Daphnia pulex: one gene and its partners. The protein of the gene in region 1 purifies or fractionates together with the protein of each later gene. This does not show direct contact. Links are inferred from orthologs where the notes say so. Each region holds a gene or a part of one and is shown in the gene's direction. Other genes may lie near its edges. The genes, in order: chromodomain-helicase-DNA-binding protein Mi-2 homolog, uncharacterized protein LOC124190543, homeobox protein B-H2-like, chromatin assembly factor 1 p55 subunit and histone deacetylase 1-like.

Evidence for each region.
Region 2: the proteins of chromodomain-helicase-DNA-binding protein Mi-2 homolog (region 1) and uncharacterized protein LOC124190543 purify together in Drosophila melanogaster (affinity purification with western blotting; 6 studies listed by BioGRID, with this or other methods). This does not show direct contact. The link is inferred for Daphnia pulex from reciprocal best matches to the Drosophila melanogaster genes Mi-2 and MEP-1.
Region 3: the proteins of chromodomain-helicase-DNA-binding protein Mi-2 homolog (region 1) and homeobox protein B-H2-like purify together in Drosophila melanogaster (affinity purification with western blotting; 5 studies listed by BioGRID, with this or other methods). This does not show direct contact. The link is inferred for Daphnia pulex from reciprocal best matches to the Drosophila melanogaster genes Mi-2 and simj.
Region 4: the proteins of chromodomain-helicase-DNA-binding protein Mi-2 homolog (region 1) and chromatin assembly factor 1 p55 subunit purify together in Drosophila melanogaster (affinity purification with western blotting; 4 studies listed by BioGRID, with this or other methods). This does not show direct contact. The link is inferred for Daphnia pulex from reciprocal best matches to the Drosophila melanogaster genes Mi-2 and Caf1-55.
Region 5: the proteins of chromodomain-helicase-DNA-binding protein Mi-2 homolog (region 1) and histone deacetylase 1-like purify together in Drosophila melanogaster (affinity purification with western blotting; 5 studies listed by BioGRID, with this or other methods). This does not show direct contact. The link is inferred for Daphnia pulex from reciprocal best matches to the Drosophila melanogaster genes Mi-2 and HDAC1.

Annotation. Positions count from the first base shown.
Region 1 is NC_060018.1:5,937,541-5,943,988, forward strand, and holds the start of chromodomain-helicase-DNA-binding protein Mi-2 homolog, read left to right. Parts: upstream 1-2,915; 5' UTR 2,916-3,018; coding exon 3,019-3,055; intron 3,056-3,178; exon of another isoform or gene 3,179-3,395; coding exon of another isoform or gene 3,396-3,417; coding exon 3,418-3,905; intron 3,906-3,964; coding exon 3,965-4,388; intron 4,389-4,446; coding exon 4,447-4,719; intron 4,720-4,785; coding exon 4,786-6,448. Other genes in the region: protein AF-10-like, read left to right, coding at 1-119; enkurin-like, read right to left, coding at 1,486-1,620, 1,685-1,846, 1,913-2,166, 2,417-2,496, 2,614-2,648. UniProt on the Drosophila melanogaster protein: ATP-dependent chromatin-remodeling factor which acts in nucleosome-remodeling by catalyzing ATP-dependent nucleosome mobilization. Involved in regulating transcription. Plays a vital role in development.
Region 2 is NC_060019.1:8,036,989-8,042,134, forward strand, and holds the end of uncharacterized protein LOC124190543, read left to right. Parts: coding exon 1-114; intron 115-184; coding exon 185-643; intron 644-709; coding exon 710-1,279; intron 1,280-1,385; coding exon 1,386-1,651; intron 1,652-1,717; coding exon 1,718-2,146; intron 2,147-2,212; coding exon 2,213-2,440; intron 2,441-2,529; coding exon 2,530-3,036; 3' UTR 3,037-3,659; downstream 3,660-5,146. Other genes in the region: acyl-CoA-binding domain-containing protein 6-like, read right to left, coding at 3,788-4,462; probable methyltransferase-like protein 23, read right to left, coding at 4,493-4,834, 4,924-5,146.
Region 3 is NC_060023.1:4,653,975-4,660,551, forward strand, and holds the end of homeobox protein B-H2-like, read left to right. Parts: exon of another isoform or gene 1-272; intron 273-371; 5' UTR 372-413; coding exon 414-457; intron 458-521; coding exon 522-822; intron 823-914; coding exon 915-1,253; intron 1,254-1,322; coding exon 1,323-1,572; intron 1,573-1,631; coding exon 1,632-1,994; intron 1,995-2,054; coding exon 2,055-2,359; intron 2,360-2,420; coding exon 2,421-2,625; intron 2,626-2,692; coding exon 2,693-3,735; 3' UTR 3,736-4,735; downstream 4,736-6,577. Other genes in the region: nuclear protein localization protein 4 homolog, read left to right, coding at 5,296-5,298, 5,481-5,561, 5,632-5,984, 6,207-6,468, 6,531-6,577.
Region 4 is NC_060023.1:6,453,765-6,459,935, reverse strand, and holds chromatin assembly factor 1 p55 subunit, read left to right. Parts: upstream 1-1,274; 5' UTR 1,275-1,412; coding exon 1,413-1,431; intron 1,432-1,493; coding exon 1,494-1,641; intron 1,642-1,710; coding exon 1,711-1,856; intron 1,857-1,916; coding exon 1,917-2,121; intron 2,122-2,194; coding exon 2,195-2,567; intron 2,568-2,637; coding exon 2,638-2,850; intron 2,851-2,914; coding exon 2,915-3,094; 3' UTR 3,095-3,254; downstream 3,255-6,171. Other genes in the region: apolipoprotein D-like, read left to right, coding at 5,229-5,366, 5,433-5,566, 5,645-5,739, 5,816-5,911, 5,977-6,119. UniProt on the Drosophila melanogaster protein: Core histone-binding subunit that may target chromatin assembly factors, chromatin remodeling factors and histone deacetylases to their histone substrates in a manner that is regulated by nucleosomal DNA.
Region 5 is NC_060024.1:1,148,857-1,155,244, forward strand, and holds histone deacetylase 1-like, read left to right. Parts: upstream 1-2,151; 5' UTR 2,152-2,291; coding exon 2,292-2,343; intron 2,344-2,836; coding exon 2,837-2,865; intron 2,866-2,930; coding exon 2,931-3,014; intron 3,015-3,075; coding exon 3,076-3,193; intron 3,194-3,257; coding exon 3,258-3,433; intron 3,434-3,505; coding exon 3,506-3,685; intron 3,686-3,743; coding exon 3,744-3,945; intron 3,946-4,001; coding exon 4,002-4,251; intron 4,252-4,308; coding exon 4,309-4,367; intron 4,368-4,449; coding exon 4,450-4,603; intron 4,604-4,667; coding exon 4,668-4,894; intron 4,895-4,953; coding exon 4,954-5,039; 3' UTR 5,040-5,221; downstream 5,222-6,388. UniProt on the Drosophila melanogaster protein: Catalyzes the deacetylation of lysine residues on the N-terminal part of the core histones (H2A, H2B, H3 and H4).

The DNA of each region.
Region 1 (6,448 bases):
ACTCCGGCATGACAATGACTCAATCGAATTCATCGAGTCAACAGATTATGAATGCCAGGCGCGAAGGTTCCGATTCACGACATCCTGTCGGCAGACCAAGTCCCATCGAACGCCGATGATTCGGGTTGTTCTCTGGTTTCCCTTATTTTGTTGTCCTCAGATTTCGTTCACAATCACCGGTTCTCGTTCGATCCGGTTCCAATCTCCTTTACACAGTTATGTTTCCCCTTATCCGTATTTTTAAAATAGTAGCGCGCGCGTCTTAGTGGTTTCGTTGTGTCTTGTTATTCCTTTTCCTGTCGTAACATTCATCGCGAGGAATTTGTTCAGTTGTTTTTTAGTTTGCTTCAGTATTACGAATCTACGTTGGAAAACACAGGTCATCTGGCAACCCGAATGTAGAGGAAGGCCGAAGGAAATGACGCGAAACATGTCCGTCGTTTGGTGGACTGCCTCTGATCCAATTATGCCAACAAGCTGCCTGCTGCAATGCTTTTGTCTCTTCTCGCCCACCGCGCCCTGTTTTGAACGAAAAATGTACAAACGAAAAACGCGATTCGTGCCCTCTCACGCCTTTGACCATACCACAATCCACTTTTCATTGTGTTTCTTCTTCTTTTTTAAGCAAACAAGAAAAACACTGTTCCGACAGATCTCGTGTCATCAGTCTACGCGGATCTTTGTTTACAAAATCCGCTTGCAGGTCCGTACTTCCTCCGTTTTGATCAATGCTCCTTCAAACTTTTTTAAAGAAAAAATTGTCTACCAATTCAGAAAATAGTAAAAAAAAAAAAAGTGTCCATGTCGTGGTTAACGTGAATCGAAATGTCAAGAACATTTTTTTGTTCTTATGTGTAAACAAGAAAAAGCACTACGGGTCGCGTCTCACGGACCAGTCCATCTCAGTTGTGTTCCCTCTTTCTTCTTCTCTTTGTTCGATCGTTTTTTCTGTCTTTCTTGTTTTTAGTGCAGTCTGCCATTTTTCTAGACATGTTGAGTGAACGACTCGTAGAGTTTTTGCTTTCAATTCGTTTTGTCAAAATTGTTTACGTTATTTCATCTGTTTTTCCCCCCTCGTGCCGTGCGCACCTGTCTCTTCCAAATTCTCTGTCCAAAGCTTCATGTCACACGAATTCTACGTTGTCTTGACCCCCCCCCCCCGTTCTATTGTTTTTGCTACCCTAAACTAACTTTCTTTTCCCTCTTCAGTCTGAAAAAAAGTGTTGACAGTTTTTTCCCGCAAATCAATGTCATTTTTCAATCCGGCGAAAAAGTTTTTTTTAAAGAAACCCCAAATTTGGTCTAATAAAAGATTCTATGCCATTTCTTTTATTCAATCAGATTTTGTGTTTACTCCTTTGATTCTTAGCTAATAACACGCCATTAACAGAATGTACAGGTGGTCAAGTGCTACTAGAAGAGGAAGATATTTCTCGTGTTGTGCCAGCAACTCAAGCTGTATCAATATAAACTTCGGAACTACGGTTAACCGGAGACAGCCATGCGAAGATTCAATTCAATGCTCCGCAACTCGTCCTCGATTGCCTCGCGTTTATCCGGTCGGGAGAAACTGATCAATCCTAAACGCTTCTCGAGCTCGATCCACCGCTGCTGAAGCTTCTGTGTAATAATAGTACGTAGCGTCAATTGGACGCGTTAGAAATTGCAGTGAGAAATCACGAACCGAATTCATCTGTCTGACCTCAATGTCCTTGTTGACGACTCGCGTAGCCGCTTTAGGGCGCTCTTTCGTCGTTTCCGATCGTGATTGGACATCCTTTGACGAATCTCCGTGCTGCGACTGGGTTTGGCCGAATTTGAGATAGTTTGGTACTCGTCCGAAAGTCTACTCAAGGTAAGGGGAATATCAGATTAATTGTTTTCGGATTCCTAATTTTATTTCACTTAAAACCGATTTTGTAGTGTAGTGTGGAACAAGTCCTGATTTCTCCAGATCCATAACGTGCCCATCTTTGGAATCAACTATCTGTAGCTTAGGCTCGTGACAGTGAATTGGATCCACATGTTTAGCGTTATAATCGATGTAGTTGTCGTGGGAAGGAGGATAGGGAGCTGGTACAGGATCATTTCTTTTTGGGACGGGCGGAAGCCGTTGGCATGAACACCGATTGGCTCTCGGTCTCCGACCGACGTATCCTATAAAATCTCATCAAAGAAGTAAAAGCGTTATTTTATTTAAAGCGATTTAAAGACAAAAACAAAAATGTTTCTATCTAATCTTTTTCTTTTCTCGTTCGTCTTCGTCCTCTATCAACAACCCACGATCGAAATTCCAGAACCTTCCATTCCAACCTTTGCATATAGGGCTTGTCAAAACGTAGCCAGAGATGGAAGTCTTTGGACGAAGAGAGGGGGGAATAAGGTATCTCATCATCTCACGATAGAGTATACGAACCTTCTCTTTCAGCAGGGGTGACGTGATTCCTTTTGATCGATCGACCCGATTTCGAGGTTTCGGTTTGAAATTCTCGTTCCCTTTACAGACAATTTGGACGATAGAGAATGAGGAAATGCAAATATACGGCTCAGATGCAATGCGGTAAATTTATGCAAGAATCTGATTTATAGAGTCGTCGGAACCGATTAACGTACCTCACAGTGTTTTTGAGCGCACCTGGTCCAGCCATTTCTGCTCTTTTTTGCGAAAATCTGTCGTCACATTCGAAGCGTTTTGACGTTACCCGCAACTACAACGAGACATGCAAAATCCCTTGATGCGTTAAAAGAAAATGAAGAAAAAATTATTATTAGTTGAAAAGGTTGCTAAGCAACGATATTCTCTCCAGTCCCACCCCAATCTCCCCACCGGAACTGGAGGTGCCTTCAAGTTTAGAACGTTACCGCTCAGCGCATCGTGGCGCTAGTAGTAGATTTGCCCCCAAACGGTGCGGAGAGTGCTGCTGCTTGTTTTGTGATTCTGGTACACCGCTCGAGTTTTTTCCACTTTATTTTTTTAACTTGATCATCTGAAGAAATTTTATTGAAATATACCACTCCATGGCCTCTTTCGATCCAGAATCAGCTCATAAAGCAGGTAAAAACCATATTTCATAAATTTAAATGTTTAGCTTTTTGTCAGATTTTGAAATCGATCGTTTGTAAAAAAATATAAAAAGAACAAAAATTAGAGGAGGGAGGGAGGGCTTCGTTTTGGGGTGCACTGGCCTTTGTAAGCCATTCTTCGTCTTCACATGCGAAACGCCGCTTAGGGGAGTTCGTTGTACGATTCGATGGAAGTCGTTTTATATGTTTTTCATAAGTATTAAGAGAGAAATTTTGATTTGACTATTGTGAAGTTTCGTTGTGTTTTGACTTGCCGAATCGATCAAGCGATTGAAACCGAGTGTTAAGACTTGAAAGAGCCGGTTGTGAATATGGCTTCACGTCATTTTGCAGGTGAAGACAGTGATGGTGGAGAAGGCGAAGAAGACGAGATTATCAAAGGAGGTGGTTATGAAGACGAAGATCAGTCCATGATGGATTCTGATGGCCTCGAAAAAGATGATGATGATGACTTTGACCCAGACACTGGTGGTGGAAAAAAGAAGAAAAAATCCAAAAAGCACAAGTCCCGCAATGAAGATAAGAAGAGCAAAAAGAAGAAAAAGAAGAAGAAAGTCGAAAGTGCTGAACCCAGTGAAGCAGAAGAAGAACAGCCTGTGGATGAGCCAGTTTCCAAAAAGAAAACTAAAGCTTCAAAAGCAGCACCTACTCAAAGTGCAGCAACTGCAGATTCTGGGATGCCGAGTGTTGAGGAAGTCTGTTCAACTTTTGGTCTGACTGATGTGGAGATTGATTATGAAAATGCCGAGTTTCAAAATCTTAACAATTACAAACTTTTCCAGCAACATGTTCGGCCATTGCTGCAAAAAGAAAACCCAAAAGTATGTTTTTGTTTCTCATTGTTTTTCAGTATATTTATAAATCTCTTCTTGTTGCTTAGGTCCCCATGTCAAAGCTAATGATGCTTGTTGCAGCAAAATGGAGAGAATTTTCAGCTACTATTCCTGAAGGCAATGATACACCTGCAGAAGAAGAAGCTGTTGAAGCTAGCTCGAGTCGGCCATTGCGTAGCTCTCGCAGTGCAGCGTCGGGCCGAGAAGAGCCCGAACTACCTGATGATGATGAAGATGATGACGATGAATTCGCTGAGAAAGGACGTAAAAAGCGTAGTAGAAAGCCGACTAAAGGTGGAAACACAAGTGCTGGCAAAAAAGGCAAAGTTCCCACCATCAAAATTAAGCTGGGCAAGCGCAAGAGAACTAGCTCAGATGATGTGAGTGCAGATGAAAAAGACTCCGACGCAGAATTCGAACAAATGTTGAAAGAAGCTGAAGAGGCTTCTAAGGTTGTGGAAGAATCTAAAGGTAAGATTCATATTTTATTTTATTCTTCAATAGTTGTCTTCATTACTCCATTCTAAAGTTGCAGCTCCAGCAGTTCCACGTAAGAAAGCTAAAACGAAAATCGGCGACAAAAACAAGAAGAAGAAAAAGACTAGGACAACGGCCAAATTTCCATCCGAAGAGGGTGATGGCTACGAAACAGATCATCAAGATTATTGCGAAGTCTGCCAACAAGGAGGAGAAATCATCTTGTGTGACACTTGCCCGAGAGCTTACCATTTAGTATGTTTCGACCCCGAATTGGAAGAAGCTCCAGAAGGCAGGTGGTCATGCCCACACTGCGAAGGAGAAGGTAAAACAACTAATAGCTGAAAAAATATATTGCCAAAGTTGATTATTAACATTTGAATTTGTCTAGGTATTACGGCTGCTACTATCACTGAAAAAGCTGGCAGGAACGCAGCGGATGATGACGAACACAGCGAGTTCTGTCGCATTTGTAAAGATGGTGGTGAGCTACTGTGTTGTGACTCCTGCACTTCTGCTTATCACACATTTTGCCTCAATCCACCATTGTCGGAAATTCCTGATGGTGATTGGAAGTGTCCTCGTTGCTCCGCAAAGACTTTGCCATACAAGGTGAGCAAGATTCTTACCTGGCGTTGGGTTGAAACCAAGGAGGAACCGGTAAAAGAAAAAGAAGAAGCACCTGACGCTAAAACTCGCAAGATCCCACCTCGTCTACGCGAATTTTTCGTCAAATGGCATGAAAAATCTTACTGGCACTGTTCGTGGATTGCCGAGCTTCAGTTGGAGGTGTTTCATGGAGCCATGTATCGTTACTACATCAGAAAAGTTGACATGGAAGAACCACCGAAATTGGACTGCGAAGAAGTGGACCTAGACGAAGCTCTTGAAGCTGAAGAAGAAGCAGCAGCAGCTCAGAAAGGAAGGAAAGGGAAAGAGAAGGAAAAAGAGAAAGAGAAGCCTGAAGGAGAGAAAGAAGTGGTCAACTCATCTCGAAAATGGCAAAAGAAGAGAATTGAAGGTTTCGAAGAAATGGACTTGGATAACCGATTTTATCGTTACGGAATCCGACCGGAATGGTTGGTCGTCCATCGCGTTATTAATCACCGTACGCTTCGTGACAATCGTACGCTTTATCTTGTTAAATGGAGAGAATTAAACTACGATATGGCTTCCTGGGAAGAGGAAGGTACCGAAGTCGAAATCCCTGGCCTTAAACGAGGAATCGAAGAGTACTTTGACCTGCGAGTTGCCTGTGGAGTGGATACTCCGGCGAAGAAAAAAAGTAAAGGGAAATCTCACAAGAAAGGCAAATCCAAGGAGGTAGCCGCTGAGGAAGAACGTGAAACACCACGCCGTTATAATCCTCCACCTGAGAAGCCAATTAGCAACTTAAGCCGGAAATGGGAACGCCAACCTGAATATATTGATGCATCAGGAATGGCATTGCACCCTTACCAGATGGAAGGATTGAACTGGTTGCGCTACTCGTGGGGCCAAGGCACCGATACGATTCTTGCCGATGAAATGGGTCTGGGAAAAACTATTCAGACCATCACGTTTCTTTATTCTTTGTACAAGGAAGGACACTGTCGTGGACCTTTTTTGGTAGCAGTACCTCTGTCGACCATCATCAATTGGGAACGAGAATTTGAAACATGGGCCCCCGACTTTTACGTCGTAACTTACGTTGGAGACAAAGACTCACGAGTTGTCATTCGCGAGCACGAACTTTCGTTTGAAGAAGGTGCCGTCCGGGGAGGCAACAAAGCTTGCAAAATTCGGACGAATTCCGTCAAGTTCCATGTTCTTTTGACCAGCTACGAATTGGTATCGATCGACGCTGCTCTCTTGAACTCAATCGAATGGGCTGTTTTAGTCGTCGACGAAGCTCATCGCTTGAAAAACAATCAGTCCAAATTTTTCCGCATCCTCAACAGCTATAATCTTCGCTACAAACTTCTTCTGACTGGAACGCCGTTGCAAAACAATTTAGAGGAGTTGTTTCACTTGCTCAATTTTCTGTGCCCAGATAAATTTAACGATCTGTTGGC
Region 2 (5,146 bases), on another chromosome or scaffold:
CAAAAGCAATGCCCAAGCCTATTCCCCCGCCTGTTACTTCGAGTGCAAGCCGAAAGAGCACCAACTCCTCCATTTCTAACTCAACCAGTCTTCCAGATCCATTTGAATCATTAGGTATATACGCTTTATTTATTTCGTCGATCTTTGATGTGTTTGGTATCTATAGTGTTTTTTATTTGAACAGGTTTGGCAGATGACTCCTTCATCGTCGAAGCCCCGTCGTTTGTCGTCCCGTACCTGATAGAGAAATCGGCTTCTCAGAATTTGAAAAAGACAGTCCAATCAATGGATCCCCATCCCGCTTCTGAAAAGAAAGAAGACGTCGTAGTTCTGAGCGAAGAAGATTCGAACGATTCGGAAAAGAAAGAGAAAGATGACGTCAAATCTACTAGTGCAACAGCTACGTTAGGAGCAACTCCGCTCGATAAGTCGTCGATGAAATCGGAAATGGAAAAATCAATAAGGCTGAAGAAGGAAGAAGATGAATATTTTTCAGGGCCAATCGGGCGCTTTTTTCTTGATATTGGACTGTCACTAGTTCAGGAATATGTTCAAGGAGATCTCCTCCGAGTCCAGAAGAGGAAAGTCCACAAGGGAACAAAGATAACTGACCCCAGCCTGTCCGTAAACGCCTTGACCAAAGGTAAAATATCCTACTACACCATTCAATCGTATGTGATATAATATTCTGTATGTGATTTTGTTATAGGGCTTGATGTTACTCGCGCTAAAAATGATCCTTATCGATTGCCTTGGCGCTCTTGCAACCAGTGCAGTTTCAAGAGCGAATCATCATTAATGATGGCTCACCACAAGAGCCTTCCTTTAGCCCTTGGATCTGGGTCATCGGCACGATATGGATGCCATTGGTGTTCGTTCGAAGCCAAAGAATCACATTTGGTATCGTTGCACATCGAAACAGATCACGGTGTGAAGACGCGGACAGGACCTGATCTGCCGTCGCACCAGTGCCCACTTTGTCCATTTGAAGATAACGTCAAGTCCAAAGTAACACGTCATATGATGAGCTGCCAGAAAAGATTCGTCGCCGACCGCAATCTAGAACCTCCACTAGACTGGGAACCACCAGCTAAAATACCGAGGATGCCCACGCGTTACATGCGAGCGTACACTCCTGGCATGAATGCGGGAACAGGGTTGCATGGCTACTCTCTTACGTCGACCAAAGGACTAAATCTGCCTTACCACCCACTTCTACCCAAATCGGCCTTGATGAATTCTCTGGGATATAACAGTGGTTTGTCGTCAACCGGAACCGGTAATATATTGTCGATCCATTACTCTCTTGACAAGTGTTGCTCCCTACTGCGAATCAGTGTTTTTTATTCGCGGTTGTCTAAAAATCTTTTTTTTTTTATTCCTAGGTCAAAACACTTACTTGGGCAATATGGCTGCAGCAGTTCAAGGCAAAGGAGGCAAGGGAGGCAGCCCTTCACAGGCAGCTCTTGCTGGTTTGCGTTTGCCGGCTGAATTGCATGTTGTATCCGGTGCATCTCAACGTGTTTCAGGAACGCCATCAGGGTCAACACCTCAACCTAAGGGGCGTGACTATCGTCAGCAGGCCTCTAATCAGTCGTCTTCTTATTTAAATCCTTCCTCGTATGGTGTTCCCAACAATCAAATTTATCAGGTAATGGTTTATCTTCAATTTTCCCAATTATCATCAATTTCATAGACGTCTATTTCTTTTTTGCAGGCTATTGCCAAGTCCTTTCAACTGTTACAAGGACATGGGTCTTCAATGTCGGTCTTACCGTCAAATGTGTCCAAGAATCAGTCGGCAGGTGCTAGCGCAATTGATAAGTTGAAGAAAAATACCAGCTCCATTAGTTTACTGCCTGGCTTAGTGAACACGAGCGGATTGACAATTCAAAGCTCAACTACTCCCACGACCAATAAGGCCAAGACCAACCAGCAGCCAAGCATCTCCATTACTCCTCTGCCACGTACGAGCACGTCGACACTTTCAAACAAACCCTCTCTATCCGTCAGCCCGGTCACTCCTGCGGCCACGAATGCAATGGCGGCAATTGGTAACAATACCTTGGCAGCAAAAGCTGGACAACCGGCAACACCAGGGCAGAAAGGGGCGGTTGTCTGTGAAATATGTGACAGTTCCATTAAGGTTAGAAATATTTTTTTTTTTTTATTTTTTTTACGGTTTCTCTAATTTACCGAACATCTGAATTAGGATTTGGAGCAATTGCGTCATCATATGCAGTGGATTCATAAAGTGAAGATTCACCCCAAAATGATTCACAATCGACCGCCGCTGAACTGCCAGAAATGCCAGTGTCGTTTTTTTACAGACCAAGGCCTTGAGAGACATTTGTTGGGATCCCATGGGTTGGTTACATCATCCATGCAGGAAGCGGCCAACCGAGGACAAGATGGTGGTCGTTGCCCCATATGCGGAAAGGTACTGAGTTACACCTTTCATAGGACCTTTGCAACCTAGGTGTAAGTTGTTTTATAATTTCAATTGAATATTTTTTTTTTAAATATTAGGTTCATCAGTGGAAACTGCTCAGTCACGTGGTGAAGGATCACGGTCTGAGTTTGAAACCTGCTCATCTCTCGTACAAGTGTACGGTTTGCACAGCCACCTTCACTATGTACAAACTGTTTGAGAACCATGTGTATACAGCTCATTCGGTGGTAGCTAGAAAAGTTCTGGACAAGGACAAGGCAGACACCAAGAAAGGAAGTTCGGGCTCGACCAATACCAGCACAACTGGGGCCTTGAGAATCAATGACGAGATCACCATCATACCACAAACGACTCGTCACGATTCATCTGATCAGAATGTGTGCCGGCCCTCCAGGGGCGAGAAAAGGAGTCGGGTTGACATCATTGACTTGTCTGATGACGAACAAGACAACAAAGACGGTCTAACTCTTCCCAAATCCCAAGTGACGATTACGAAAGTGCCCGCCCCTAAAGGCTACCTAAGCAGAAATAGTAGAGAGTCCATGTCCAAGCGCAGCAGGACGGACGACAACGATACCGAGTGAATTATTTTTTTTTTTTGGAGGGAGCTTTCGTTTCAAATGTGCTCCCTAGCATCTTTTCCCTTCCCTACAATTTCGTTTGAGGCAATCCAATTGAACATTGGATGGTATGAATGTGAAGCGAATATTCTTATGAAACAAAATTCAGAAACAATACAGGATTATTTACTTTTACACATTTGGATTAGTGTTTACCATGTCGTGTCTGGAAAAAAAAACTGAGCCATGTTTAGGTGCATTACGAACATAAAAGATGTTGATACTCGAGATCATGTTCTCAGCCCGCCATGTCTTGATATCGCAAATCTGCCAGCCCCCCTCTACTTTTCTTTCTTTATTTCCCGGAAAATTTAAAATACGTTTAGTTTTCGCTGTTGACTAATTGTTATTTGTTTCTTTTACCAAACCATCCGCTCCCAACACCTCCTTCAATTAAGAAAGTTTATTCTGTATATTTTCTTCCCTACTCAAACCCTGGTTATTCGCCGTTCACACCGATACCTCTTTTTATTTCCTTTCCACTCCATCTCACGAGGAATGTCTAAATGGTCATATCGACATGACCACGTTTTCATGTCGCCATCTGTTAAAAATATAACAATAATAAACTGCGTTTAGTACCTCCATACAGAATTGGGCTACCATCATTGATTTGTAATGTTTTAACTGGAAAAATTGTTTATTGACGGATAAAGACATCCTCATTTGTAGAAAGAAACATAACATAAGAAAACAACTGAACTGTATAATTGGCTTACAAGTCTGACAGCTCGGAAGGGAGCATACCATTATGATCTCGGATGTTTTGGTTTGCGTGAAGTTGTTCCAAAAATCGAATGCACTCATCGTGGCCACAAGCGAAAGCATAATGCAAGGGGGTTTGTCCATCACCGTCTGTAACGTTCACGTCCGCACCTTTCTTCGCGAGCAGATTGATCATTGACGTATCGCCTCTATCCGCCGCCCAATGAATCAATGCCATTTCGTTTTCGTCCCGTTGATCTATAAGTGATGGATTTACACTTAACATGGATGAAACGTGTTCGATTTTTCCCTCTTTCAACCAATCAAAAATTGTCTTGTCACTGTCGTCCAGCTCTTGATCCATTTTGGCCATACAGCTGACTGTTACTCCGAAAGCTGATGTTTTTTTAACACTTGACGTTCCTTTCTTATGGTTCGATGCCAAACTATCCACTAGTTCGATATACTGGGATTTGGCATCATTGAGGCTGGTGGTTCCAAGAGCATTCCACGCTTCCCATTTCTGACGTGCTGTGTAGTTAAATATTCCTGGTTTGGAAATATTACATGTTCCTAGCGTTGCTTGTTTGTATAGTCCATAGAGCCGCAGCATGGTGGTTGTATCAATGTTCACAAATTCCTTCACTGTCTCTGAAGCTTCACTGAAAGCAGAATCCAGATCCATTATTGATTCCATATTGCAGAACTGGAACAACTAGGAAGCACGATGAATTTCGAAGAGTTGTATAGTATTATCCTGAGTGAGTTCAGCGACATCAACAACTGAGCTTGAAATAATGCTTGCCACTTCAAGAGTCTTGCAGCATAATTTCCACTTTGACAAGTAAGGTTCAAAACTCCAATCTGAACTCCTTTCCTTGTAGGAGCACACAAAACTTGCAGATGGATTCTTTTCCAGCAGATAGGATACAGTCATGAGAATTGGTTCAAAAACAGTTGGGTCATAGAAGCAGTCTGAACTTATGATGAGGTCAACTGGTTCAAGTTTTAAAAGTTGTGGTTCAAATGTACCCCATGTGAGTCCAATTATTTTTACCTTTCAAATAATAAATAAAATATTACTAAAAATTAAAATTTGTCTCACATTTATAAAAGCAATACATTGAAGGGATAAATTATTTTTACCTTATCGCCCACACCATTAGTTACAGCACTTGTTCTACAGTTTTCTAAACATTTAGTGAAGCGAGAACAATCACTTAGTGTAACATTAGCTCCACATTTAGCAGCAACCACTCCTGGAAGTGAAGTTCCAGCACCCAATTCAATTACGTGCTTCCCGATTAATTCAGGTCTCTGACTCCATAAATACCATGCTAGGACTGGAGCACAGGGCCACGTATACATG
Region 3 (6,577 bases), on another chromosome or scaffold:
GACGGTGAAAAGCTCGTTTTGCGTTTACCACCCACTTTACTTCCCACTGCCTCCCCCCCCCTTCTTCTTTCTGCCTCCCGTTCATTAGTAGTGCCTCGATATGTATAGTGCATCTCCTTCCGCCCTACTTCCCCCCTTTCTCCACGTCAAACCGTCCTGGGTTTCATTTCATTGACACGTTTCCATCATCCCGGCCGCAAGTGACGTTGGGCAATTCGTGATTCGGGAAACAAGGGACTACTACCCTTGTCTTTCACGCCATCTTGGTCTCGGTGCGCTCCATTCGTTCGTGACCCCCTTTCCCCCCCATACAACTTGTTTGTGGATGTGTTTAGATTACTTATTTCTCTCTTTTGCTTTTTTAATTGCAGAAAAACAAGTCTAGCGTGATAAAAACAAAACAAGCAAAAACCATGGAAGCAGAAGAAGATTCACCGGTTGTCGACCTTTCCGTCAGGTAAATTTTTTTATTATTATGAAATGCAAATGGACAAAATGGCCATAACTGCTGATTATCATAGTAGGAAACCGGCAGAGGCGATGAATCAACACCGTGAACAACAGCCGTTCAAGTTTGATTTGGCTGACCTCCCCCAGGACTTGTCCGTCCATCGCAGCCATTTCAGCGCTCTGGCTGGTATCAATCCAACACCTGCTCACGGAGGGGCTGGATTCAGTGGCAACGGTAACGGCGTTGGCCGCAGCGCTTTGAGTCCTCTACCTGTTCAGGCTCATATGCAATCCCCTTTCATTCCACTTCACCATCGATCTGGAGGAGTCACACCGACTAGCAAAAATCCCTGGCCAAAAGATGAAATTCAGGTTAGACAAATCTCAATTGGTCTCCCGTCAAAACAGCGTCAAGACAACACGACAACGTATGCTCATTTCTCTTTATTTCTTTTATCTTCTAGGTAACGCGAATCGAAAAGCCTAAAGAGCGTGACGCCAATAAGGAAATGGATCGGCCGATCAAAGATGAAATTGAAGTGGTTCACCTGAAGGATGGATCGCGTTCATCGAACCGGCGGTCGTTCCGCCCACTCTCGATACGCCCGGATAACAACCAAGTTGTCTACACGATTAAAAACTCTGAAGAAGGACGCGTCAACGGCTACAGCAATGGTTACGGCAGTGCCAGCGATATGGAAATCAACGATGAACTACCCGATGATGAAGCGGATGATCTAAGTGATGATGCCCAGGGTGAAAATCTGGAAGATTTACCCATGCCTCCCTCTCCGGTTAGAAAGGTAAACATTTCTTTCCTTTTTTTTCTAATGTTGGATCATTCATCTTTCATGTCGGTTTGTTATTTGCAGGAAATGACCGAGACGGAACGGTTAGAGAATCAACTACTTATACAAAGGCTGCAAGCCGAGTTGAGGACAGAAGAGATGCGATTGGTACTGCTCAAAAAGATTCGACAAACTCAGCTTTTAGCTGCCCAACAACAACAGCAACAACAACAACAGCAGCAGCAGCAACAGCTCCATCAGCAGCAGCAACAACAGCAACAACAACAACAGACAAATTTGACAGTTGCCTCAAACTCTCACGACGTCAAAACAGGTTTTTTCGCACTCAATAATCATTTTGCCTGCTGGATCTGTAACGTTGTTTTTTAAAAGGACCACCAGCTACCAGTACGAAGCAGCCTCATCCTGCCCACTTATCGATTTCGTCACCTCAGCAGCAGCAGCAGCAACAACAGCAGCAGCAGCAGCAGCTTCATCACCACCATGGGGGACAGCACGTGAAATCGAGCAGTAAAAACAACAACAACCACATGAGCTCGTCGCCGTCTTCCCGAAATAGTTCAAACTCGCAAAATTCATCACGCCATTCGACCAATGTTGCCAACATGGCCATGAATTTACTTCATCAACAACAGCAACAGGGACATCGCAATTCCAATAGTAACGTTTTATCGCCGTTAATGCAGCATCAGCAACTTCAGCAACACCAGCAACAATTGCTGAGAGGATCGGCTGGTAAATCATTCAGGATAATTCAATTGAATTTACCAATTCTTAATGTGCATTCTTCAATAGGACTTTTGGCGCACAGCAGAGCACCTATTACGACACCCCCGAATGTAGTGATGGGACTAGCTATCGGCTCTGGTGCTCCATCGCCTTCGTCTCCAAGCATCCAGGGGCATGACAAACGCGACCACATGCGAACAAGCACCTCGTCGCCCAATGTTGCCCAGTCTGGCTCGTCCAGCACGCTCGGTCTCCATCATCACACAAGTGCTTCTAGCTCCCGGCAAGTTGAAGATCCTCAGACAGCTGCCCAAAGACAAGCAGCCGCCAAATTAGCTTTAAGGAAGCAATTGGAGAAAACTTTACTTCAGGTATTTCATTTCTTGGCCATGCCTTAATTAAGTCAAAATTAAATTCACGTTGTATTGACAGATCCCACCACCTAAACCTCCTCCACCTGAAATGCATTTCATCCCCAACCCGAACAATACCGAATTCATCTACTTGTTGGGCTTGGAGGCCGTCGTCGATCGACTAACTCAGGGTGCAGACCATCCAACTCCGCCCATCCCGTTCATCTGCTCCCAGTGCGGCACAGACTTTTCGTCGCTGTGGAAATGGGACAAAGCCGCAACACGTAAGGCTAATTGATTGTTTGTCATACGACCGACCGAGTGATGGCTAATGGATTTCTTGTTTAATAGTAGAGAAACCAGCAGTGATGTGTGATCAGTGTGTGACCAACAACGTCAAAAAGGCCCTGAAAGCGGAGCACACGAACCGACTGAAGACTGCTTTCGTGCGAGCTTTGCAGCAGGAGCAGGAAATCGAACAACGTCTGGCGCAAGGTGGCAACATCAGTCCGCCTATTCCTCCACATCATCCGATGCCAGCTCCGTCCCACGCCAGCGCCAGCGTCCATTCCAAAGCGTATGACTCGCTACCGGCCTCTACTCAAATTATCCCCTTCTCCACAAAGTCCATCAACAGTGGAACGCCAGCTCCCGCTCACAGCCCATTAGTCGGATCACACTCGGCCGTGAGCTTGAGCATAGCCGTTGGCAAGGATCGAATGGAGCGAGAGCGCGACAGAGAGCGCGAGAGGGAGCGTGAAAGGGAACGAGAAATTCGTGAACATCGTGAAAGGGAACGCGAGAGAGAAAGGGATCGTGAAAGGGAAAGAGAACGGGAGCGTGAACGAAACGAGAACCGCGAACGTGAAAAGGAGAGACAGGCGAACGCAGCGGCGGCCGCTGCTGCCGCCGCCGCCGCATCGGCTAGCTTCGATTTCTCGAAAATGCCCGACCCGACCAAGCTCTTTGGTCACCAAATGTCTGCAATGCAAAATGCTCTGCAAGCCCAGCTGCTGAGAGGCATGGGATTGCCTTCGGGATCGGCGTCCATGTCGAGTCACGCTCACAACCCTCTCATGAATCCCTTCTCTTCACTGCTGTACCCTTATCAGCTGGCCATGGCCGCTTCGGCTGCTCAAGCAGCAGCTCAGGGCAGAGGCAATAGCGGCGGTGGTGGATCCGGAGGAGCTGGAGGCAGCGGAAACAGCAGTCGAGACAATAGCGCCGCTGCCTTTACCGCCGCCAGTTTGGCCGAACTGCAACGGCAATATCTGCTGGACATGCTCCCACACCTGCCCAACATGGCCGCTGCCGCCGCCAGCAGTGCCGGCTCCCGCTCGTCACAGGGCCAAAGCCAGGGTCATGGCGATGGTCGTCAAAATTGGAAATCTTGAGCAAGTAGACATCCCCCTCAAAATGTGTCTTTGTGTTGTCAACTCCGCTCTGATGGGCATTTGCATCCGCCGGCAGCAGCTGACTTGCCTGAGCCAAGACGTTCTTTTTTTTTCTTTATTATTAATAATTATTTTCAATATTTCTTGCGGTCTCGTTATGAATATTCACCTCTCCCCATTTCTCTGTTGACTTTCGATTTAATAAGCGAACTGGTTCCATGCGTATGTCAAATCACTAACGATTAACTAAAAACAAAAAGGGAGGCTGTTCGAGATCTCACGATCGTCTTTGCTTCATTCAGTTTAGTGAACCAGTAAGAAATTTTGTCTCGATTTTCCATCGTGGTTCATCACACTCCAGGCAGGGTACGACTGTCGTTACGTGCGCCCTGATTTGCCTTATGAACTCAAGCTAAAAAGACACCCAACAACCACGACAAATCCATATTTGATATAGGACAAATGCAGCGATGTTATCTTTTGTTTCTTATTATTAGAGAGGTAGCAAAGCGTAGAACTGCAGTGACACAGAAGGGACTCATCAGCACATATTCTCTGTGATGGGCCGGATGCTGGAACGCTCAAATGTTGCATGTGGAATATTATGACATATAACCCTCCCCCCTCCTCCTGAAAGGCAAATTTGGCCATGTACTGCTTTTCATCCTCTATACTGTTGTTTAGATGCACTGACTCGTGATTTTTTCAAAACTTCATCTGGCGAGTGCACCTTCTCTTGTTGCAGATCTGATCATCAGCACAACCCTACCCTCCTGACATGAATTTTCCCCCACCCCGTTTTCCTATAATTTCCATGTGTCTTTACTTCCCTCTTTGTTTCTCGTGATCTATTAAACTTACGTCAAGACAACGGACATGACTGTCTCATTTGGCATGGTGATGAAAATGCGGGATTGCAGGCTGACATTCTGGTATCCTCGAGTGTATGTGTGTTTGTATCTGTCTTGAGAGAAGTGAACAAGAAACGTGTTTCCCAATCGTTTTACTTATCTTGAATCAAGTCTTTATATAATTAATCGGATACCTATACATAGCTAGTTATCAGTATACAAAGTAATCCTTCAAGTGGGTAGTGTGATGAAGTATAAATCTGCGAGATATAAACTTTCTATTAGCTTTAGTTTAATTGCGTACTCAAATTTATGAATTATTTGGTTCGTTTTATCACTTCTTTTTCTTCGAGTTTCCGTAGACTTCAACCAATGTTATAAGGTGCCTAATATATAATAAACAAAGAACATTTTGTTTAATTTGAAATGATTTTAAATGTAAATAAAACTTGATTAACGAAAGATTACAATTTTTGAAAATTCTTTTTTATTTAATTTTTTTCAAAATTGTGAAATTTCTTTCGCCATCTAGCGTTCGTACTCAACGACGTTTCACATAACAGAACGTATCGAGTACTCAAAGTTGACTGAAAGTTGATTTGATCGAGTAAACGAAAACATCCGCTGCGGTCTTTTGTCGTTAAATCTTCTGGACAATCAACCTGAACTTATCGGTCCGCAGTTACCAAATTATATTAAAAAACTGAAGATGGTATACGTTTGTTATTTGTTATCAATATCACATTTTTTTGGAATGCTCATAAATTTTGCTTTATCTTGAAACGTTCGTTTTTATTGTTGCCTATTGTCTTTACATGGGACGTTTTCATACGTGATATGATGAAATTTTTCAAAATATAGAACCATATTAATTGCAACAAATATTTCCTATAGATGTTGAGAGTTCAATCTCCAGAAGGTACTCGGCGTGTGGATGTTGACAATGTCACCGTAACCAGGGAACTGTTTGAAAAGGTATAGAAGAATTGACCCCATAATTAATACAATGCAAAACCCACAAATAATTTTGTAATTTTTTTCTTAGGTCCTCAATACCTTTGGAAATATAGGTTATTCTTTTGCCTTGTACTGCAAACGTGATAAATCTCAAGAAATTGTTTCATCGAATGCAAAGACTATGGCAAGTTATGGGCTTCAGCATGGTGATATGATATACTTGTCACCTATTGCTGGTGCAGTTCAGCACGGTGAACAGGATGCTTCTGTGCTTAAAGTAAAAAATGGAGTGAGCACTGCTTCATCGACAACCTTCCTTCCATCAACTAGTAGCATGCATGGATCCAAAATACCTATTCGATCTAATGTAGAGGAAGATCAAGTTGATGTAATTCTACAGAAAATGGATGGAACTGTCAAGAGAAAACGTGATCCCAAAAAGTGAGTTTTTACAGTGCACGTATTGGACTAATATTGTAATCAGTTGTGTTCTAATTTTATTTGAAAGCTTCCTTAGAATAAGCAATAGTCTAATATAATGTAATCTAAATTATGCAGAGACATTGTGGCTAATATGTAAGGATTATAGTAAAAAGCGGTGTATTATAAAATAACCGATATTCATCCGACATGAAAAATAACAGCATTTATTTTTAATGATAGTTGTCTCCATGGAGAAAATTCGTCTTGCATTCATTGTCTACCATTGGAACCATACGACGCTTCGTACCTAAAGGAGCTGAACGTCAAACATATGTCGTTTCACGCTTACTTACGGAAACTGTCTAGTGGGTTAGACGGAGGAAAATATGCTAATTTGGATAACATAAGTTGTCGGATTAAACCTGGTTGCACTGGTCATCCGCCATGGCCCAAAGGTGTGTGCTCTAAATGCCAACCGAAAGCCATTACTCTGAACAGTCAAGTAATATTCCATTTGCCGCTCCAACATGTAAACCATATTAATCTTTGTTTCAAATCCTACAGGCTTACAGACACGTTGACAACGTTGTCTTTGAAAATCCAAACCTAGT
Region 4 (6,171 bases), on another chromosome or scaffold:
TTGTTTATCCAACTTTTGGTTGAACCATATTTGTTTCTTCTTTTTTTAACATAACTCTGATGCTTTAACGTGGTTAATATGGTGTATGGGTGTCTTTCGTGCAAAAGCTTATATCGTACCATGCTGGATGAATGATGATGATGAATATATTGGGTCCGATCGAATCTACAATGAATTATTGTTCAAATGAACGGAAGGCCAACAGCTAACTTAAATTGTGGAATATCTCTTTTGAAATGAGAACAGAAGTTGACTTCAATTTTGGACCATTGTTATGATAATATCTCAACCGGCATTTCCATCCATTATTACTCCTCATATTCCTCATACTCCTCATACTACACGTAATGCTCGGCGAAATATATATATATATATATTTCATTTGGTTGAAGCACTACGTTATTAGCCTTTAGTGAATGTTGTGATAGCAGAAAATTTTAATCCAATAAATACGTTATGAAGGAATGGAAAGAAATGACGGTGTTTTCAAATCATTAATTTTTCTTAGACGCAGTAAAAAATAATCCTATTAACGCTGTACAACTTCTATACTGAACTCAATTAAATTTATGGCAAAAAATACACTGTGCAATGAAAGAGAATTTTGAAGTGGTTTACTCGTCTTGCTATCTTCTAGTTCAAATATCGGTTTGATTGTCTGATGACGGAAAATATTACATTGTTTAACGGATGGCCGGAGGAGGCTTTCTTCATGATTTACTGTGAACCATTTCCTAGAGCGCCAATCGCCTTTACATTGTAACAGGTAGATCACTTTAACCTTGACAACAAAGGTGAAGCACCTTCAAATTTCCTTCCATTGTTTTGGCATCTAGCGCTAAACCACTATGAAATTAATTATGCGCAACAGAAAAAGCTTGAGAAAAAGTTAAAATCATATTGGGCATCGGAAAACCATTAAAATTTTGTGGAATTAAGCATTGATATATTTTTGAAAGCAAATATTTTTTTCTAGAAAAAATAACTGTATTCCTATAACAATATAACTGTTTTTATGCCTTACACTGCCTTACATGAAGATTTTTTCCTAGACCTACCCACAGGCATACAAATCTCTCAACACCCATGGCCTACCTAAATATTGTTTTTAATTATTACTAATTAAATTTAATTTTTAAATCAGACTTTTGAAGTAGGCAAATTCTTTTAATTTGACAACAATTTTATTATTTTCAAGATTTTTTTCTTTAAAGACATGACCATGCCATCTATGAACGGCAAAATAAACTATTGAAGTAGTTTCGACTTTTTCCAAAGTGGCACCACTGGAATTGCTTTCGTTTTTGCCGCCATTTAACAAAGCAGCACGCTCAAAAGTCTCTGCTAACCGAATCTATTGCTTGACAGGTTCCAGCCGGTTCATCATTAGTAAAGGACTTGATTGACTAACGATGGCAGATAAAGATGGAGGTATCTGTTGAAATCATTCTTTGTTATTGGATGACAGTGAAATTTAATCCAATCTTTTTTAGAGCCCTTTGATGAAGCAGTGGAAGAACGCGTCATCAACGAGGAATACAAAATTTGGAAGAAAAATACTCCATTTTTGTATGATTTGGTTATGACACATGCTCTGGAATGGCCTTCACTTACAGCTCAATGGCTTCCTGATGTTACAAGGTAAATTACTGAGAACAAAGGTGTTTTATTGTTTCTTTCTAACTGTTGAATGTTTCTTTTCTCCGTTAGGCCTGAAGGCAAAGACTACTCAGTGCATCGTCTCATCCTTGGTACTCACACTAGCGATGAACAAAATCACCTCTTGATTGCATCTGTCCAGCTTCCTAATGAGGATGCTCAGTTTGATGCTTCACATTATGACAATGATAAAGGAGGTAGTCATTTAACTTGATCAAATCTGTTGCACTATTGTTTTAATGCTTCATCTCTATCAGAGTTTGGAGGCTTTGGATCAGTGAGTGGTAAGATTGAAATTGAGATCAAGATCAACCATGAAGGAGAAGTCAACAGGGCTCGCTACATGCCCCAGAATCCTTGTGTGATTGCCACTAAAACACCTTCATCTGACGTCTTGGTCTTTGACTACACAAAACATCCTTCTCGCCCTGATCCTAGTGGAGAGTGCCACCCTGATTTACGGTGAGTCATTTTTTATTCAAATGATTTCTTATGACCTAAACTTGTTACTCACAACTACATTATCTTTTTTTAGTCTGAGAGGACACCAGAAGGAAGGTTACGGTTTGTCTTGGAATCCAAACCTTAATGGTCACTTGCTGTCAGCATCTGATGACCACACCATTTGCTTGTGGGATATTAACGCATCGCCGAGAGAGAATCGTGTTCTCGACGCCAAAACCGTATTCACTGGCCACACAGCAGTTGTAGAAGATGTCGCTTGGCACTTGCTTCACGAGTCCTTGTTTGGTTCCGTTGCCGATGATCAGAAGCTTATGATTTGGGATACTCGCAGCAATAACACCAGCCGGCCCTCCCATACCGTGGATGCTCATACGGCTGAAGTGAACTGTCTGTCATTCAATCCTTACTCCGAATTTATTTTAGCTACCGGATCTGCAGACAAAGTATTCATTTAATATTAAAATCTACTATTTATTCTACTCAACTAAACATGTCTCCAAATTGTATTTCTAGACTGTAGCTCTTTGGGATTTGAGAAATCTTAAACTCAAATTACATTCGTTCGAGTCGCACAAGGATGAAATCTTTCAAGTCCAATGGTCACCGCATAATGAGACTATTTTGGCTTCGTCTGGCACCGACCGACGCTTGCATGTCTGGGACTTGTCCAAAATTGGAGAAGAACAATCCACCGAAGATGCCGAAGATGGCCCTCCAGAATTGTTGGTAAGTTGAAATATTGATGCGATTGTTTGATTCGGATGCTGTTTAATTATTGAATTCTCAACAGTTCATTCACGGTGGTCATACGGCCAAGATCTCTGATTTCTCCTGGAACCCGAATGAGCCCTGGGTCATCTGCTCCGTCTCTGAGGATAACATCATGCAAGTTTGGCAAATGGCTGAAAATATTTACAACGACGAGGAGCCTGAGACGCCAGCCTCAGAACTGGAAACCCCTACTAATTAATGCATTTCCAGTGTATCGCCCTATACCCTATTTCTCATCGTTTGATTCTTTACTGTCCCACGTACACGCTCATCTTTTTTTTAACATTCAAATCTTCGAATTTGGCCCTTACATCGCTTGGAGATCCAAGTTTGTGTATTCAATAAATAGCTTTCCGCGATTTGGTTCAATTTGAATTATTCTAATTACTGCCGTTAATTAGGTTACTAGTCCATTTGCAGTCCATTAAGTGGGTTGTGATGAAATTTCAATAAATGGTTGAAAGACGCTCTTATTCAGAACAAAATTCGACTCTTGATCGCCTGACCCTATGACGCAATCATTAGATTTCGAAAGCTAAATAACAGTAAATTGCCTAATTCCCGACTGTTCTAATTATTCGTGATTTTGTATTTGTACATGTTCGACTGTTTTCTTTGAACTCGGATTTCTAATCTGTGATGTTTGGATTTAGAAGCCAACAGCATATCCGTCTTGACCGTGAATCAACATTGTTCGGCTCACACTGGCCCGCCAGCAAGCAGCAGGTAAACATCTATCGTCTTCAGCTGGGTGTGGGCATCATGCGGCAGTAAAAAAGTTCCTCTCCTACCCGTGAATAAGTGTAGAGGACCGATGTTATTTATTATTCAACCTTGAAAACGCAATTAAAGCGCTTGAGGTTGAGCATGACGAAGACTCCAGCAGCATCCTCAACACCGTGTTCGGCCAAGGTCCGTCTGGATGGTTGGACCCCGTATTGGGATTGAGAAAACGCCAACATTTGTTATGTTTATGGATCGCGAAATGTGAAAATCGATTCCACATTTTCATAATGTTTTTGTTTGTTTGTTTTTTTCGCTTTTTTGTCAGTTGAAATATGCCTTGCAAAAACGTGACGCATCGGTTTTTCAAGGGCAGTTACCCAAACGCCCAAAACAAAGGCGCGCAATATTTTTTTCCAATATCCGCAAACGACTGAAATAAAATTCATTGAAAATACCGGCATCGTTAATCTCTTCTGATTTTCAATTTTAAAAAATCGATTTTGTATTTTTTTGTTTCAATGAAACCTCATCATAAAATTATTTTTACGCATTGAAAAGCCACGGGTTGCTTAACTGTTAATAAAGGTATTTACCGAATTTTCCAGACAATACATTGTATAATTAATTTCGGTTTTAGTCTCTAACACGGAAATTGCGTTTCAAGTCGGTGCTGGGCCTATCGGTGCTGGTTGTCAAGTCACTTTCCTGACTGAATAGATCCATTAATCACCTAATCGAAAGAGCGCTGGCCATCGTTGAGATATGCATTTTCGGTTGGAGGAAGCCAACATCAAAGAGATGGATGATGCTTATTTTCAATCGGGGTATACAAGTAAAATAACTCACGACAGAGCTGTTTACCCGATCTTTGGCCTTGCGGGACCTTGATCGAGCGCGTTGACGCGTGGTGTTACGTACGGCTCGCGGTGCTGTACTGGGACTTGGTCTCTTAACCCCAGGGTTTAATTTCCACTTTCAAGGTTGAATCATAATAAACACGAATTTCGTTTTTTCCCTCCCCAAAAAAGCTGCATGTGGCATTCATGGATGCCCATTTCCAGCCGAATCAACCTTTCGCGCTCAGCGGGGAGGCAGCAATAACAGCTCAGCTCGACCTCCGAAGCGGGCGTGACGCGGCCACAAAGAACGAGACGGATTGCAGCAGCACGTTGAAAAATCTGTGAAGCAAGTGGCTGGACGATCGTGCCTTTCGATAGCATTCGAGAAGCAGGAATATTTTTCTTCTTCTTCTTCAGCATGCTGGAATTGATTATATCCAGCGCTATAAGAAACGAGAAGGGTAGGGTCTCGAAGAGTTGACCTGCGTGAAACAATTACGCCCCACTGAGGAGAGTCTACCACCACCACACTCGTATCTTCTCTATCCTCCCCTCCAAAAAACAAGCAGCGGGGTTCTTTGTTGGCACATCGGTTACTAACCCAGTGCTAGGAGCGTTCTTTTTTGTTATCACGTTATACAAGGTGCGCAAGGCGTGAATTTCTTGTCTTAGTGTATAAAAGATACGCGCAGCTCGTCGTTGTGGATTAGACCGCCGGTGTTTGTCATCCGAAGAACACACGCCAGGACAAAAACATCAAACATCACAATGGCAAAGAACCTTAGTGCGCTGATGCTGCTGGCTGCTGTACTGACAGTCGAAATACCGTCCTTCGTTTTGGGCCAGATTGTAATTCCCGGTGATTGTCCCAAATACCCAACGCAGCCCAGCTTTAATCCAGCTCAGGTATAATATTAATTTTGTAATTTCTACCGTGTGTTGTGGTCGTTACGCAATTTTTACGTGCGCTAGTTTATTACTACTCGGTGGTACGAGATCAGCCGGTATCCGTCAACTTTCGAGGACGACACCAGGTGCTCGCTGATTGACATCAGACCGTCCAAACAGGGAGCTCTCAAGATGAGTTTCAAAGGAATTAGCAATATGTAAGTTTTGAGAATCGACTGAGACTGGCATCCCAAAATGATGTTCAACCGAAATATCTTATTTAACATTTTTGACAGAGACAACGCTGTTACGATTGCAGCGGGCAATGCTTACTTTGACTACGGAGAATTGAGCAAATTTCTAGTTCAGATGCCTATCGTCAGTTGGAACGGTAAGACAAAGAAATTCTGAAATTATTAATAAAGCATTTCTAGATTAATCAATTGTAAACAAAATTTCTCGTGCAGCAACCGTGGACATTCGATTCTGGATTATCGCTACTGACTACACTAATTATGCTCTAGCCTGGAGTTGCGATCCCCTTTGCACTGGATATCGGCGAGGTAATCCCCTCATTTGATAATAATTAATTCAATGGCTAATTTTCTGAATCTATAATTCAATGCAGAGCAATTGTGGCTTTTGGGTAAGCAGAAAACGCTATCAGACACCGTCATGAATACAGTCACCTCCAGGTTCTTTACCAACGGGCCTTTTAAGGCGGGCAATCTGGTTCCGGTTGTTCAGAAAGACTGTCCATCCATCGTATAGAGTGAAGCAAAACGCGTCAAAATTTACGGAATGAGCAATTAACGATCAAAGA
Region 5 (6,388 bases), on another chromosome or scaffold:
ACGCTGTAACGGAAAGATTTTTTTCTTTGTTTGGGCGTGTGTTAACTTCTACTAGAACACTTCTTAGTGATACGATTTTAATTTTCTTGTTTTTCTTAAGTCAAATATCTGTCCTTTTTCTACAATAACTTAAATTAAATAAGTCATAATAATTGGGCATCATCTGGCAAACCGACCCCTTCAAAATCCGTTTCCCCTTGTCGAGAAAAACCACCGCAAGGGGATTTCGAACAAAGACTAGAGGGGAACCCTCCCCTTGGATCGGTTTTGGATTCGAAGGGGTGGGGAAACGACTTGAAATGACCGCTGAAATGTAGGAATTGATTCAAAAGCGGATTGACTTTGAATCAATACAAATGTCTTTCATGCAACAATAAAATAAAGAAACGCGTAGTCCCATGAGGCCCGTATGATGCTGGGGCGACGGGTTTTTTGGGGGAGCAGAAGCATGACAGAAGTAGGTGCGTGGTTGGTCTCAGCAGGCCCGTGGTTAGGGTATAGGGGGACAACACTTACCAGGACGCAGCCAAACAGACGAATTTCCCGTAGGGATTCTGTAGGGGAGACCGGACCCATGTTGGACACTGTTCCAAGTTGGACAGTGTCTTAAAATATAGTAAAAATTGCTTTAAAATTCTAGATTTCACATTGTTCTAGATGTGATGATGCTAGATCCTGTGTAGTTTAATTAATTTCCCGAGAGTAGAACGGGAGTTATAGGAGGAAGAAAAAACACGATAAATTATTGCAAAATTTTTCGCCCGAATTATTGATCTTGCTCCAAGTTTGTTTGAGTAAAAAAATTTTTAAACAAATGTTTTTAAATTATTTATTATTGGAAGAACTATCATACAAGGTTTTTAAAATAATTTAAAGACATTAATTTCCACCTTTTCGAACCCCGTCTAACTTGGTACAGGCCCCTGTCTAATTTCACCCCGGCTCGGTAAAAAACACCGAAAAATGGAAATCAATGTAAATTCTTAAATTTTAAAGTTACACATTTTAAAAAAATCAAGGGGGTGGAGGCAAGGCTAAAAAATGACCTTAGCCAAAAAAAAATTCTTTTGCCTAAGGGGATCGGGAGATATGCGGGAAAAACCGCGACTGTCCAAGAGGGGTCCGGTCTCCCCTACAGGTTTTTTGGCATACGGGAGGATTAGTTCCAATTTCGCCAATAGATGGCTTCGATTACTTTTTCGACAGTAGATGGTGGGTCGGTCGAATTTCACCAATTTTAACTGCGCGCGTTGAAACTGGCATCTAGGCTCTAGCGACTAAAAGTAAACTGTCATCTGCCTCTTTCTCTTCTTCTTCTAGATTTTTTTATATCTTCCCGTCCATCGATGACTGGAAAGAGATTCAGCTCTTTTCAGACCGACCAGGAAAGAATAACATCTGTAATAGCCTACATCAGCCAAAAATTTTTATTTTTATTTTTTGTCCGCTTGGCGCAACCTAAGACTGGTGGCTTTTTCAAATCTTATTTAGAAAAGAAACCAAAACGAAGATTTCGACATTTTTCCCCCTGCCCCTTCTCGGAAGACGAATTCGACTGCGCTGCTCCTTCCGGCGAGCCCATCTCCTTATCTCTGAAAACGTCTAACGGAGTTGATAGATCGTTAGATCTCCAGCTTAATGGCTCTGGTTTCTAGTTCCATACTCCTTAGTCCCTAACCTAATCCCTAATTTCTAAATTTATTATTTACTAGAATATGTTTATTTCAAATACCTTCGTATTTGGAAATTGATAATATAAGATTTAAAAAATATAACTGCGTAATTTTTTCATTTTGAAAATCACTTGTTTCGTGTGGGTTTTCCAAAAAAATCAAATTCCAATATATTTATTAAACATTATGTTTCCCAGAAGGGTTCCGACTTCTGAAAACTGATTATTACATATTCAATCCTATCAACAACATTCATGGAAAAATTGCTTCTTGCAATTAGTTTGACGTGATACTTTACCTTGACTCCTCCACCAGGGCAACAGATAATTATCCATTACTCTGCCTCCACTTATTATCATCATTTTTATAGTTTTGTAAGGACTCGACTCGAATCGAAGGAGATTCGAGATTTTTTGAGAGCTGGCAAATATGTTTCCTCAAATTCGCGTTTGAGGCTTTGGGCTATCGTAGTTAGTTTGTAGATTTGGCAACACTGTAAATGTAAGCATTCGCATTCGACGCAGCGAAAGCAATTGATGCTGGTGTCTTTTCTTTTCAGTGTAACTGTCGAAAAGTAAAAATAATTTTAATAAAGAATTGTGATTTTCAATTTCGAAAATGACTACTCAACCAAGTCACAGCAGAAAGCGAGTTTGCTACTATTATGACAGTAAGTTAGAAAAATAATTGTATCATGTATAATTAACGTTTCATGTCGCGTGTTTGACTGCCGGCGTCCTTTTTTAAATTAATTATTTCAGTGGTCATATTCTATTTATTTTATAAATTCCCAAAGATACTTGATTTTTGCTAAATTTATATACCTATCTATTGTGACATTTTGATGTACAAAATTTATGTGGAAGTAACAATATTTGGCAAGTGGGACGTCATTTATGCACAGTAGTATCACAAAGAATTATAGATGTTTGAAGACTGAAGAGCACATAGTATTAAAAAAGAAAGATATGTGGCTATATTATCATTTAAATTGGGTTTTATTTTTGAATTGCTTCAAAATTTTATTAAGATTTTCATGTCAAATTTGTCGATGAGGTTGTCGGGGGTATAATTGACGTCCTACTTGGTGGGTGGGTTGGCATTTTTATGGTGACTTTTCATTTTAACTCTTAAATTTGTAATTCCTTTTTTTATTAACCTAGGTGACATCGGGAATTTTTATTATGGACAGGTAATAATATTGAACACATTTATGTTAATGAAACTGTAATTAATAATAAATTTTTGAAATTGAAGGGACATCCCATGAAACCTCATCGCATACGCATGACCCACAACTTGCTCTTGAATTATGGGCTATACCGTAAAATGGAAATCTATGTAAAAATTCAAGAAGCTAGATGATAATTGCCACAGTTTAATTGAATTTATTTTTTGTTAGCGACCACACAAAGCCACAGCTGAAGAAATGACCAAGTTCCACAGTGATGATTACATTCGATTTCTTCGAAGCATCAGACCTGACAATATGACAGAATACAATAAACAGATGCAGAGATGTAAGATGTGTTTACAATTTGATCAATTTGAAATTGTGAATTAATTTATTTGTTTGTTTTTTAGTTAATGTGGGTGAAGACTGTCCTGTTTTTGATGGGCTCTACGAATTTTGTCAATTATCTGCTGGAGGTTCTGTAGCTGGAGCTGTGAAGCTCAACAAGCAAGCAACTGAGATAGCTGTGAACTGGGCTGGGGGATTACATCATGCCAAAAAGTCTGAGGCATCAGGATTCTGCTATGTAAATGAATAACTTAATAACAGTTTTTGGATATAACTTACTAACTAATGTTCATCTCTTTCCATATTTTAGGTAAATGACATAGTGTTGGCAATTTTAGAGCTTCTGAAATACCACCAACGTGTTTTGTATATTGACATTGATATTCATCATGGTGATGGAGTGGAAGAAGCCTTTTACACTACTGATCGTGTAATGACTGTTTCATTTCACAAATATGGAGAATATTTTCCTGGAACTGGAGATCTCAGAGTAAGAAGTTTTGAACTAAATTTTGAATAAGAAACTGTTATTTATCCTTTTGTTGTAGGACATTGGTGCAGGCAAAGGAAAATATTATGCCGTAAATTTCCCCCTGAGAGATGGAATAGATGATGAAAGCTATGAGCAAATCTTCGTACCTATCATGTCAAAAGTGATGGAAACTTATCAGCCGAGTGCAGTGGTTCTCCAATGCGGTGCCGATAGTTTGTCTGGTGATCGTTTGGGATGCTTTAATCTTACTTTGAAAGGTATGTGTTCGGAACTATTGTTTTTAGTATACATGTTATTATCAAGTTGTCTTTAGGTCACGCAAAATGTGTTGATTTTGTTAAGAAACATAATCTGCCTTTACTGCTGCTTGGAGGTGGTGGTTACACTATTCGAAATGTTGCCCGTTGTTGGACTTACGAGACCGCAGTGGCACTGGGAAATGACATTGCAAATGAACTCCCTTACAACGATTATTTTGAATATTTTGGTCCCGATTTTAAATTGCACATTAGTCCGTCTAACATGGCAAATCAAAATACTCCGGAATATTTAGATAAAATCAAGTAAGTTTTTAGTGTTTTATTCAAAGAATTATATGTTGAGTGACATGTTTTTCTTAGAACTCGTCTTTTCGAAAACCTCCGCATGTTACCTCATGCTCCTGGAGTCCAAATGCAAGGTACTTGCATTAAATTTAATTCTTCAATTGTATTTATTATTTCATTGCATTGCGTTTAACTGATCCAAAATTATTCTGACAGCAATTCCCGAGGATGCCATTAACGAAGATTCCGACGAAGAAGATAAATCTAATCCCGATGAACGTATATCTATACGAGCATCAGATAAAAGGATTGCACCAGACAATGAATACAGTGATTCCGAAGATGAAGGGGATTCCCGCCGAGATCAAAGGTCTGAATTCATTAATAAATCGTGCAATTTTTCATTTTTTCAATCATTATTCTCTACTATATAGATCATTTAAAGGAGCAAATCGCAAAAGACCAAGAACCGAAACAGCTGAGGGTGCTGCAGAGGTCAAAAAGGAAGAAAAGGAGGACAAAGAAGTGAATGGCGAGAATAAGGAAGGTACTTCAAAAGAGACTGTAAAGGATTCGGACAAGAAAAATGAGACAACACTGAAGTCTAGTGGTGAATCTTCTAGTGAAGGTAGTGCTTTGTCCATGGCGAATGAAATAAAAGGTTAGTGTTCACGTAATCGTGGTTATCTCAGATTTCTTACCAATTATATGTATTTTCAGAACCCGAAGAAGATAAATCTACATCGCATGAATTAAGCTCCCCTGTTCCGGTTTGCGCCGATAGCAGTAAAGGAGAAAAAGTTTGAAAATACCAATTAGGGTTTTATTTCATTTTCGCTAATTTTACACTGATGGTGATTCTTCGAGATTCATTCACATCCAATTTTCTACGTGTATCTTAATTAGAATGTAAACTCCGGCTCCTATCACCAACTGCATACCCTCAATCGGGTTCTCAGTCTTCAATACATTTTTACTAAGTTTTTCATTTTAGTTTGGTCTTTTTTCTACATCCTAAGATACGCACTTCACTTATGTTGAGTGCATACTTTAAAACTGGAATACTGATTCAACAACATGTAGCGTAACAGAAGCTTTAATAGGCAAGAAGCGTTTATTTTTAAGAATGATTTTGTAGGGAGAATCAGCGATCAGTAAGCCCAACCTAGTTGGTGGAACGTTGGAATACCGTAGGAAAAGTTTGAGGTTTTACTAGGATTAAGGTTGAAGTTAATAAATATTAAATACTTGAATTGGGATAGTGCATATTTTAATTTCAAAACTATGATAAATTTTACTATTCTGGTGTTAGGTTACATAGGTTAGATTACATATGTTAGGTTACAGTACTAGTCACTAGTATTGTTATCTAGTTATCTTATTTCTTAAATCATTATGTTTTTATAGGCCTCAATAATATAAAAAAATAATTCTAAAGGTTTCATCGATATGGATAACCGATAAGTTAAGGCAACTGGTGGTACCTCTAGTGCTTCGTTATTGTTTCAGTCACGGCTCCCAGTTATTAATTTGCAAATTATATTGTGATAATTTTTAAGTTCGTCGGTTTCGTAAAAAGTGGTTTTTAAAGTGGTGATTAAAAGTCCAACTGAACGGAAAGTAATGTATGTGAACGTGTTATATGAATTGCTTTCGTGTTTGTTGCGTTTAAACCGCGTGGTTTCCTGAGTTTTGATTTCCTCTTCTAGGTCAAGTTCGTTCATCCGATTTCTCCAGTACTTAATCCAATCTGGCATGAAGTCATTTTACAAAGATTCTTTCGATTGAGTACCTTGAGATCAATGTCTTTTCCAAAAAGATTTCCAATCAGCGGCATAAAGAGGGTTAGCCTCTGACCGTTGCTCCTTGAACTGCCGCACACAATCCAGCAGTCTCTCTTCCGGTAATTCCGGACACTATTTAGTTCGTAGCTGTGGTATAGGTTTCCAGCGCATCGAGCATCCCCAAGTGTTTTTGGATCTTCTCGGTGAAACGGGAGAAAGAAATCCGAAGTTGAATTTCAGATTTACTTCTGTTTTAGTTATATCAGAATATAATTTGGCATTTGTTCGGCAATTTTGCAATCGGCGAGTGCTGGTCTCAACGGAACTGCACTAAATAAGGCATTCCAATTTGTATCTGAACACGATGATTG